Xenopus tropicalis: one gene and its partners. The protein of the gene in region 3 interacts with the protein of the main gene of each other region in a pairwise test. Links are inferred from orthologs where the notes say so. Each region holds a gene or a part of one and is shown on either strand. Other genes may lie near its edges. The genes, in order: coil, hmbox1 and bysl.

Region 1 (3,756 bases), on a different chromosome or scaffold from region 3:
AATGCTCAACATTCAGGTGTAGAATTAAACATGGCCTCAAATATAGTGCCCTTAGTACAGCGCCCCCACATACACTACCCCCCCCCCCACCGTCAGTCCCCATGGCAGCAGTGAGTATGTGCCCAATCCCCTTGCAGTCTGGGGGTAGCAGAACTACATTAATAACAGGGGCAGTCACAGCTTGGCTGCTCTCCTCCCCATGTATAGAGACAGGGGTGTACCCAGTACTATATACCCCATGGCAGCAGTGAGTATGTGTCCAATCCCCTTGCAGTCTGGGGGTAGCAGAACTACATTAATAACAGGGGCAGTCACAGCTTGGCTGCTCTCCTCCCCATGTATAGAGACAGGGGTGTACCCAGTACTATATACCCCATGGCAGCAGTGAGTATGTGCCCCATCCCCTTGCAGTCTGGGGGTAGCAGAACTACATTAATAACAGGGGCAGTCACAGCTTGGCTGCTCTCCTCCCCATGTATAGAGACAGGGGTGTACCCAGTACTATATACCCCATGGCAGCAGTGAGTATGTGTCCAATCCCCTTGCAGTCTGGGGGTAGCAGAACTACATTAATAACAGGGGCAGTCACAGCTTGGCTGCTCTCCTCCCCATGTATAGAGACAGGGGTGTACCCAGTACTATATACCCCATGGCAGCAGTGAGTATGTGCCCCATCCCCTTGCAGTCTGGGGGTAGCAGAACTACATTAATAACAGGGGCAGTCACAGCTTGGCTGCTCTCCTCCCCATGTATAGAGACAGGGGTGTACCCAGTACTATATACCCCATGGCAGCAGTGAGTATGTGCCCAATCCCCTTGCAGTCTGGGGGTAGCAGAACTACATTAATAACAGGGGCAGTCACAGCTTGGCTGCTCTCCCCCCATGGCAGCAGTGGGAGGAGCTTACCTTGAGTCGCTCCCATAGTTACAGTATGTGGGAGGAGCTTACCTTGAGCCGCTCCCATGAGCACCAGTAAAACTAGAGGCCCCGCCAACATCTTGCCTGTAACATTGGCCTGTCACGTGCCCCTGATCAGCTGATGCTCACATGACTGAGGAATCATCCAATCACTTCCTTCCGCCGTGGTAGTGTGACGTATTTCCGGAGCTGTGCCTGTGCCCCAAGCAAGATGGCGGCGCCCAGTTGTGTGCGAGTGAAGCTGCTGTTCGACTACCCGCCCCCGGCCCTCCCGGAGAGCTCCATGCTGTGGCTGCTGCTGGATGTGAAGCGGTGCCGGGCGGTGACCGACCTGGCCAGTATTATCCGCCAGAGATACATGGGCGGCCGGGGGGGCGGCCTGAGCCTGTATGTGGAGGATTGTCTGCTGCCGCCGGGGGAGAGCATCCTGCTCATTAGGGACAATGACTCCATCAGGTACGGGGGGGGGAATGGCTGAGTATATCCATCATTGGGGGGGGATGGCTGAGTATATCCATCATTGGGGGGGGGAATGGCTGAGTATATCCATCATTGGGGGGGGGGAATGGCTGAGTATATCCATCATTGGGGGGGGGAATGGCTGAGTATATCCATCATTGGGGGGGGGAATGGCTGAGTATATCCATCATTGGGGGGGGGGAATGGCTGAGTATATCCATCATTGGGGGGGGGAATGGCTGAGTATATCCATCATTGGGGGGGGGGGGGGGGGAGAATGGCTGAGTATATCCATCATTGGGGGGGGAATGGCTGAGTATATCCATCATTGGGGGGGGGAATGGCTGAGTATATCCATCATTGGGGGGGGGAATGGCTGAGTATATCCATCATTGGGGGGGGAATGGCTGAGTATATCCATCATTGGGGGGGGAATGGCTGAGTATATCCATCATTGGGGGGGGAATGGCTGAGTATATCCATCATTGGGGGGGGGAATGGCTGAGTATATCCATCATTGGGGGGGGGAATGGCTGAGTATATCCATCATTGGGGGGGGAATGGCTGAGTATATCCATCATTGGGGGGGGGGGAATGGCTGAGTATATCCATCATTGGGGGGGGGAATGGCTGAGTATATCCATCATTGGGGGGGGGGGGAATGGCTGAGTATATCCATCATTGGGGGGGGAATGGCTGAGTATATCCATCATTGGGGGGGGGGAATGGCTGAGTATATCCATCATTGGGGGGGGGGGAATGGCTGAGTATATCCATCATTGGGGGGGGGGGGAATGGCTGAGTATATCCATCATTGGGGGGAATGGCTGAGTATATCCATCATTGGGGGATGGCTGAGTACCCATGGGGGGGGGGAGAATGGCTGAGTATATCCATCATTGGGGGGAATGGCTGAGTATATCCATCATTGGGGGGGAATGGCTGAGTATATCCATCATTGGGGGGAATGGGCTGAGTATATCCATCATTGGGGGGGGGGGGGGGAGAATGGCTGAGTATATCCATCATTGGGGGGGGGGGGAATGGCTGAGTATATCCATCATTGGGGGGGGGGAATGGGCTGAGTATATCCATCATTGGGGGGGGGGATGGCTGAGTATATCATCATTGGGGGGGGGGGGAATGGCTGAGTATATCCATCATTGGGGGGGGGAATGGCTGAGTATTCCATCATTGGGGGGAATGGCTGAGTATATCCATCATTGGGGGGGGGGGGGGGGGGAGAATGGCTGAGTATATCCATCATTGGGGGGGGGAATGGCTGAGTATATCCATCATTGGGGGGGAATGGCTGAGTATATCCATCATTGGGGGGGGAATGGCTGAGTATATCCATCATTGGGGGGGGGGGGGAGAATGGCTGAGTATATCCATCATTGGGGGGGAAGCTGAGTATATCCATCATTGGGGGGGGAATGGCTGAGTATATCCATCATTGGGGGGGGGAATGGCTGAGTATATCCATCATTGGGGGGGGGAATGGCTGAGTATATCCATCATTGGGGGGGGGAATGGCTGAGTATATCCATCATTGGGGGGGAGGGAATGGCTGAGTATATCCATCATTGGGGGGGGGGGAATGGCTGAGTATATCCATCATTGGGGGGGGGGGGGGGAATGGCTGAGTATATCCATCATTGGGGGGGGGGAATGGCTGAGTATATCCATCATTGGGGGGGGAATGGCTGAGTATATCCATCATTGGGGGGGGGGGGAATGGCTGAGTATATCCATCATTGGGGGGGGGGAATGGCTGAGTATATCCATCATTGGGGGGGGGGGAATGGCTGAGTATATCCATCATTGGGGGGGGGGGAATGGCTGAGTATATCCATCATTGGGGGGGGGAATGGCTGATATATCCATCATTGGGGGGGGGGAATGGCTGAGTATATCCATCATTGGGGGGGGGGAATGGCTGAGTATATCCATCATTGGGGGGGGGGAATGGCTGAGTATATCCATCATTGGGGGGGGGGAATGGCTGAGTATATCCATCATTGGGGGGGGGAATGGCTGAGTATATCCATCATTGGGGGGGGGGAATGGCTGAGTATATCCATCATTGGGGGGGGGGAATGGCTGAGTATATCCATCATTGGGGGGGGGGGAATGGCTGAGTATATCCATCATTGGGGGGGGGGGAATGGCTGAGTATATCCATCATTGGGGGGGGAATGGCTGAGTATATCCATCATTGGGGGGGGGGGGAATGGCTGAGTATATCCATCATTGGGGGGGGGGAATGGCTGAGTATATCCATCATTGGGGGGGAATGGCTGAGTATATCCATCATTGGGGGGGGAATGGCTGAGTATATCCATCATTGGGGGGAGGGGAATGGCTGAGTATATCCA
Region 2 (3,756 bases), on a different chromosome or scaffold from region 3:
TACCAGGGAGGGAGGTTTGAGAGTACATGAAGTGGGGTGAGAGTGCAGGGAAACAGCAGCATGTTAGTGCAGTGCGAGGAGTGCAATGAGTACAAGTATCAGGCTTCACTGGGCAACATAGTAACATACACAGGAATTATGGCTGGAAAACAGACACGAAACCATCAAGTTTAAAGGTTTTGTCCAAATGAAAGCTAAGTGCTAGCTGGCAAGGCAGTGCCTAGGCATCGGGCTGAAGTGTGAGGGTGCAAGTATCAGACTAGGGTGCAGGTCAGTCAGGGTGCAAGGACCGGGCAGAGAGGGAGGCATGAAACAAACATGAGTGATAGAAGCAGGGGTGCCATTCAGCAATGTGTATCAGGGAGAAGTGCTAGGGGCAAGTTGTATATGGGGCAGGGTAAATGTGCGGGGTGCTACAGGGGTGAGTGGGGGACAGCTGTACACAGAGCAGTTGGCACATGGGGAAGAAACAGAGCGCAGTTTAAAGAGGGGACGGTGTACAAGAGTGCCGTATATGTGAAAGAAGTCTGAGAGTGTAGAGTTGCACAAGGGACAGACAATTATGTGAAAGAGAGAAAGGTGAGCGCACAGCTGGGCAGGGGCAATGTCAATACAGAAAGTAGCAGTCAGAAGAGTGCAGTTGGGCAGGGAATAGTGTGAGAGTGCCGAGAGGGGCATCCACACCTGTGCAGTGTGCACTGTCACATACAGCAACATACCCGGCAGCAAGTAAGTGCCATGTCAGGGAGAGTGCAACAGGGTAGCAGCAGCGAGAGTGCACTAAGTGCCATGTCAGGGAGAGTGCAACAGGGTAGCAGCAGCGAGAGTGCACTAAGTGCCATGTCAGGGAGAGTGCAACAGGGCAGGACCAGCGAGAGTGCACTAAGTGCCATGTCAGGGAGAGTGCAACAGGGCAGGAGCAGAGTGAGTGCACCAAGTGCCATGTCAGGAAGAGTGCAACAGGGCAGGACCAGCGAGAGTGCAGTAAGTACCATGTCAGGGAGAGTGCAACAGGGCAGGAGCAGGGAGAGTGCAACAGGGCAGGAGCAGGGAGAGTGCAACAGGGCAGGAGCAGGGAGAGTGCAACAGGGCAGGAGCAGGGAGAGTGCAGTAAGTGCCATGTCAGGGAGAGTGCAACAGGGCAGGAGCAGCGAGAGTGCAGCAAGTGCCATGTCAGGGAGAGTGCAACAGGGCAGGAGCAGGGAGAGTGCAGGGGGTGAGAGGCAACACAGGGTATATAATGTGCCAGGCAGGATGCAAGTTCAATGGGTTCAGCGTGAAACTGCCAGGGGCTTGGCTTAAAAGTTAAAAAAGTGTCAACACAACATAAGGGTGCAGCAAGCGAAAAGAAAAAGGCAAAAAAGTGCAGTGGGGCAGGCACAGAGAGAGTGCAGGAGTTGCCAGTCAAAGTGAGAGGGCAGTGAGTGCAGGATGTGCCAGTCAGAGTGAGAGCAGTCAGTGAGTGTTGTAAGTGCCAGAGTAAGAGAGTGCTGTAGATGCCAGTCAGAGTGAGAGAGCAGTGAGAGAGTGCTGTAGGTGCCAGTCAGAGTGAGAGAGCAGTGAGTGAGTGAGAGTGCTGTAGGTGCCAGTCAGAGTGAGAGAGCAGTGAGTGAGTGCTGTAGGTGCCAGTCAGAGTGAGAGAGCAGTGAGTGAGTGCTGTAGGTGCCAGTCAGAGTGAGAGAGCAGTGAGTGAGTGCTGTAGGTGCCAGTCAGAGTGAGAGAGCAGTGAGTGAGTGCTGTAGGTGCCAGTCAGAGTGAGAGAGCAGTGAGTGAGTGCTGTAGGTGCCAGTCAGAGTGAGAGAGCAGTGAGTGAGTGCTGTAGGTGCCAGTCAGAGTGAGAGTGCTGTAGGTGCCAGTCAGAGTGAGAGAGCAGTGAGTGAGTGAGAGTGCTGTAGGTGCCAGTCAGAGTGAGAGAGCAGCAAGCGAGAGTGCTGTAGGTGCCAGTCAGAGTGAGAGAGCAGTGAGTGAGTGAGAGTGCTGTAGGTGCCAGTCAGAGTGAGAGAGCAGCAAGCGAGAGTGCTGTAGGTGCCAGTCAGAGTGAGAGTGCTGTAGGTGCCAGTCAGGGTGAGAGAGCAGTGAGTGAGTGCTGTAGGTGCCAGTCAGAGTGAGAAAGAGAGGCAAGGGTGCCAGGCAGTGTGTGGCACAGTGAGAGAGTGCAGTAAGAGACAGTCAGGCAGTGTGTGGCACAGTGAGAGAGTGCAGTGAGAGACAGTCAGGCAGTGTGTGGCACAGTGAGAGTGCAGTAAGAGACAGTCAGGCAGTGTGTGGCACAGTGAGAGAGTGCAGTAAGAGACAGTCAGGCAGTGTGTGGCACAGTGAGAGAGTGCAGTAAGAGACAGCCAGGCAGTGTGTGGCACAGTGAGAGAGTGCAGTAAGAGACAGCCAGGCAGTGTGTGGCACAGTGAGAGAGTGCAGTGAGAGACAGCCAGGCAGTGTGTGGCACAGTGAGAGAGTGCAGTGAGAGACAGTCAGGCAGTGTGTGGCACAGTGAGAGAGTGCAGTAAGAGACAGTCAGGCAGTGTGTGGCACAGTGAGAGAGTGCAGTAAGAGACAGTCAGGCAGTGTGTGGCACAGTGAGAGAGTGTAGTAAGAGACAGTCAGGCAGTGTGTGGCACAGTGAGAGAGTGCAGTAAGAGAGTGAGACAGAGAGAGTAGAGTGCAGCGGGGCAGAGTGCAGGAGTTGCTGGAGAGCAGGGGGTGCCAGTACCTTACCTGAGTGCCGAGCAGCGCTCACTCTCTCCCACACAACATGAGTCCGGTTGCCGAGCCCGCAGCCAGCGGGCAGAAAGAGAATGTATGCCAGTCCTATGCCAGTCGGAGTGCCAGTAGCAGCCCTCGGTGCCCGACGCGCTCACTTTCCCCCACCCGCCTCCGGGACTCACATCGGAACCCGACCCGTCTTTGTCTGCCACCCCGCCGCCATGTTGGCACTCAGCAGCGCGCAGCTCCCAGCCGAATGTTTGCGCGGGAGTCTGGGAGTTGTAGTTTTCGGCGCAGCCAGACTCTCCCCGGGGAGCGAGCGGAAGGCGAAAGCAGGAAAACTACACTACCCGGCATGCCGAGCGCCAGTCTCTCTCTTACCGCCCTATCCCGCCTGGCTGAGCGTACGTCACACTGACGCAGCGAGTTATGGGCCGGAGAGACTACAAGTCCCAGAAACCATCGCGTCACCAGAAAAAGGGGCGCTCGGCGGTGAGGCCGGGGACAAGGCAAAGATGAAGCTGGTGAGATTCATGGTTTTGGGTTCTTATATTTTCTCTCATGCCTTTATAGATATGATATGCCCTGGCGTGTCTGTATCCGCAATGTGCTTCCCAAATGGCGCCTTTCCAACCTTTGCCTGAACTACAGCTCCCAGCATCCCCCAACAGTGTTGTAGTTCTGCGAGTAAATAGCAGGTCCTAAATGTGCCCATTCCTCTGTTTTATGTGTGTGGGCTCCAGGTCCTCTCTAGTCCCTTCCCTGACAAAGTCCCTACCCTCACTTAAATATGGCCATCAGATGTACATAGATGTCAGTTTACCCTCTGACAGGGTATTTAGTAAGAGTGGTGCAAAAGTGCAGTAACCCATAGCAGCCAATCTACTTCCATGAGTCTGACCTGCTCTAAATTGATCAAAGCTGATTGGTTGCTATGGGCTAATGCACATGTGTTTGTTGCTAAGGGGTCCACATCCTGTTATATAGTGAATAAAGTACCCCCTATTGTAACATATAGGGATATTATAAGCCCCCGAGGGGTTCCTTATAATATAT
Region 3 (3,756 bases):
GGAGTGTTTAAAAAAGGCAGGGGGGGGGGGGTTATGGGAAAGCTAGTGTAGATCTGGCAGTGGGATAAGCAAGGATACATACATTTTACCAGCTAAGGAGATTCCTCTGTTACATGGAAAACCCCTAATAGTAACCTCAGATCTAACTCTTAGTTCTGTAATGTAAATATTAGAGGGAAAAATAGTAACCTCCACGGCATGCTGGCAAATGCACAGAGCTTGTCAGGGAAATTAGAAGAGCTGGAGTCTATTGAATGTACTGACAATTAGGATATAATTTGTATCACTGAGACCTAGTGAGATGAAACAAGTGACTGGGCTGTGAATATACATGGTTACACCCCTTTTAGGAGGGATAGAGGGATTAGAAACAATGGAGGGGTTTGTCATTATGTAAAGCCATATACTAAAGAAATTAGCAGAGACAGCAATTCAGTTTCATTTTGCTCTACTGGTTGCAACTATAGGTAAACTAAGCATTCATTCACACTAGGGATAAATGGGATGACTCAAAACCCACGAGAACCAAGCCCTAGAAGCGGGTTTAAGAGGGTGGCAGGTAAAACTGCAACCAGGTGATGTATTAATTCTAACCCATCTCCTGTGGTGACTGGTCCCACCCATATAAGAGTCATCGGAGAAGAACCACATAAAAGTTATAGTAGAAGCTGGGTTGGAAAACAGCAGGTTAGGGTTGAAAATGTTATGAATCACTCATCACTAATTTGTTTTTATTCAAAATCATCTTTTGACTAAAATGTACATATCCAGACCTGTTAAATTTCACAAATGATAGTGTATGGATAAAGTTCCGTAATCTTTGCTATAAAGTATTTCTATTAATGATTATTTTATTCAGGGGCTGGCCAAGCCGACCGGGCACCCTAGGCAACCCAATTGGCCACCCTGCACCCCACCTCTCATGTGTGTACATGAGAAAGTGCACTGACATCCCGGGTAGGATGCGAGAAAAGCAGCTGGGGCAATAGTGTGTGTACTAGGGGGTAGGCAGAAGAGGTAACTGTCACACCCCCACATCGTTGCTCCCTTCTGACTACCCCAAGTTCTGGCCCGGCTTTATTTGACCCATGTAACCCTTGGCGTCTCCAGATAGTTGCTACTTTACCTTAGTGGAGGGTTCTTATTCATAAACATTTCCATTGCCTTTTCATCTTCAGGGTTAATTTGTACCTCCTCGTTGAGGGTACCTTTCTCCAGACTGGCTGCCTTCTCCAATGAAGGCCACTCATCATCTTCAGAGTCTGAACCCTCTGCTCTGTTCTTGGAATCTGAAGGGCAAGGATTTACAAAAGATAATGATTGATTTGCCAATATACAAGCAAAGATAAATATGAAGAAATAATGACCTCTAATTTGTAAATAAGTTAATTCAGACTGTACTTAGTGAATGCTACAAGGTCTGTTTCTGTGGAGCACCGGTTCCAAACAATTCCCAGGGTAGGCCCAAGAGAACATGAAATATTTGTAATGCGAGTTAAGGGTCACAGTCTGAATACATTTAGTGCATGTTAGGCTATATTACACACTTTTTGTTCTAATTACAGCTAGTATAACTGAGCATACTGTACCTTGTCATGGCTAAATAGAACTAGAAAGCAGCACTGCCTGTATGGTACCTTTAATTTAAAAAGGGTCCTAAAAACATTTTTGATAAAATCAAATCTTAAAAATTAAGATGAAGGTGCAGTGTACAATCCATTTTTGCACACATGATTCCGGTCTTTTATAACATATACACTAAAGTATATATGCTATGTGGAGTATAATCATTAAAGGAGAATGCAAGTCAAAATTTAAAAAGCATACTGCCCAATAGTCCTCCTATTGTTTAGTAAAAATGCCACACTTTTGGCTCACCTAATCAAATATTTACTCAGTCACACTTACTTCACATATTCTAGAACAGGCAGCCATCTCTAAAAAGGTATTCTCCCTTCCTTTCCCTCCTTGCTTCATACTGCACATGTGTTTGCATGGAGATGCATCAGCATATAAAACAGCACATTAGATATCCTTCATTTTATCACAGAATGAAGTTAGCAAATTATTTATGTACAACTTTTCAAATATTCTTATATGTGTATGACTGTATCATATTATATACCTGGAATGTTCAATTTGAACCAGCTAATGAGCATTTGAGCATTTCTTTGGCCCCCAGTAGACTTTTTTTGCATGGCAAAATTTCAATATAATCTGGCCCTAAATGGATTACATTAATGGATTATTAAGACTGTCCCATACTCGTTTCTATGTATTTACAACTACAGCACTAGTTGTTGGTTATGACTCAGTCTAAAGACTCCCCACTGATTTTATATACCGGTTTAAAAACTTTTGTTTTGTATTCTGCCTTGGAAATGTTTCTTTACCCTTTTTTACCTAAAACAGTTGTCCTCTCTTTAGGGGTCACATTCCCCAGACTATATTCGGCCTCCAATTCCTCCTGCTGAATACGGGCCTGCTCCAGAATCCTTCGGGACAATTTCTCGTCCACGTATCCATCATCTTCGGCGTCGTCTGTAGGTTTCCCCTTGCGCTTATTACGGAACGAGGGTCTAATTTCTCCCTCCTGTTCGATCTGATCAGCTAAGGGGAGTAAGCGAGAAGCAGCTCCCCGAGAATTTTTGTGCTTTGGCATTTTCCTGACATACACGTGCATAGATCCACACACTGCGCATGCTCCTATTCCCCTGGCATCGTACGCCTCGATGTGGGACTTGCGTGAACCGCAAATAATGACAACAATTTTGAGCGCCGTGACGTCATAACACGTCGCTGTGTTTTGTACAATTAAGTACCAGCATGGGAGTGACTTGGTAAGTGTTTGTCATTTTTAATGTAGTAGTAGAAAAAGAAGAAACGTCATTTTGATGTTTGCAGATACGTGTTAACTTCTGGATTGTTTTTATCTTTTGTAAACTAAGTTTACGCTTACTTATTTGCATGACTGCTGCTTTGTTAATTATAGAAAAACGGAATCCTACGAATTCAACACTGCAGTGCAGTATCACACTAAGAATGCTATGGGTAATAGGGAGACAGTTAAAAGATATCCTTTTTTAAAAATCAACACTGTAAATATAACCTGTTGAAAATGTATTCTGCCTCTTATTTTCAGGATTTTTTTTTGCCTTTGTTAAGGAATAATAGAATTTTTTAATGATAATTTTGAACCCCCAATAGCGTTGCTGGTAAAAAAAAAAATGTGCTGGATGCCAATGTTATTAATAGGGTATAAAGTTATGAATATAGGAAGACTGATATACTATACCAAAATATATCTGTCTTATGTTTATCTTCCTTTCTTATAAATAACATTAACAATAGCCATGATTTCTTTTTTTGCCTAGGCAGCAACCATACTTCCTATTGCTGTATGATTGCCTTCAGCCTGCATCCTCCAAATGCCACCATTGTACATAACCCACAATGCATTGGAATGCTCCAGGAAAAGAAAATCACAGTAAATTGGATATAGATTTTCTCTTTTCCTGTTCACATTCTCATGGCAGTCCGCACAATTGGGAGGGAACATACACATACCAAATGCTGCAAAATACTTTACTTTTTTATTCAAAATCTGCAGAAGCAGAAACATTTTTTAATGCTTCACAAAAATATTAGGACACCTCCAAATTGCTGCTTTGAAAATCTTTTCTGGTGACGCTAAACCTTTGAGTGCCCATGATGCTGCCATACTGGATACATCTTACAATATACATGCCAGTGTTT

What was found.
Region 1: the proteins of bysl (region 3) and coil interact in binary tests that used the Homo sapiens proteins (3 or more experiments, as listed by UniProt). The link is inferred for Xenopus tropicalis from reciprocal best matches to the Homo sapiens genes BYSL and COIL.
Region 2: the proteins of bysl (region 3) and hmbox1 interact in binary tests that used the Homo sapiens proteins (3 or more experiments, as listed by UniProt). The two-hybrid records come from large-scale screens. The link is inferred for Xenopus tropicalis from reciprocal best matches to the Homo sapiens genes BYSL and HMBOX1.

What each region holds. Positions count from the first base shown.
Region 1 is NC_030686.2:52,235,070-52,238,825, forward strand, and holds the start of coil (coilin), read left to right. Parts: upstream 1-1,110; 5' UTR 1,111-1,130; coding exon 1,131-1,375; intron 1,376-3,756. UniProt on the Homo sapiens protein: Component of nuclear coiled bodies, also known as Cajal bodies or CBs, which are involved in the modification and assembly of nucleoplasmic snRNPs.
Region 2 is NC_030681.2:151,880,669-151,884,424, forward strand, and holds the start of hmbox1 (homeobox-containing protein 1), read right to left. Parts: upstream 2,920-3,756; 5' UTR 2,713-2,919; intron 1-2,712. Other genes in the region: ints9 (integrator complex subunit 9), read left to right, coding at 3,216-3,224. UniProt on the Homo sapiens protein: Binds directly to 5'-TTAGGG-3' repeats in telomeric DNA. Associates with the telomerase complex at sites of active telomere processing and positively regulates telomere elongation.
Region 3 is NC_030678.2:70,761,405-70,765,160, forward strand, and holds the start of bysl (bystin), read right to left. Parts: upstream 2,681-3,756; 5' UTR 2,663-2,680; coding exon 2,404-2,662; intron 1,290-2,403; coding exon 1,127-1,289; intron 1-1,126. Other genes in the region: med20 (mediator of RNA polymerase II transcription subunit 20), read left to right, coding at 2,827-2,840. UniProt on the Homo sapiens protein: Required for processing of 20S pre-rRNA precursor and biogenesis of 40S ribosomal subunits. May be required for trophinin-dependent regulation of cell adhesion during implantation of human embryos.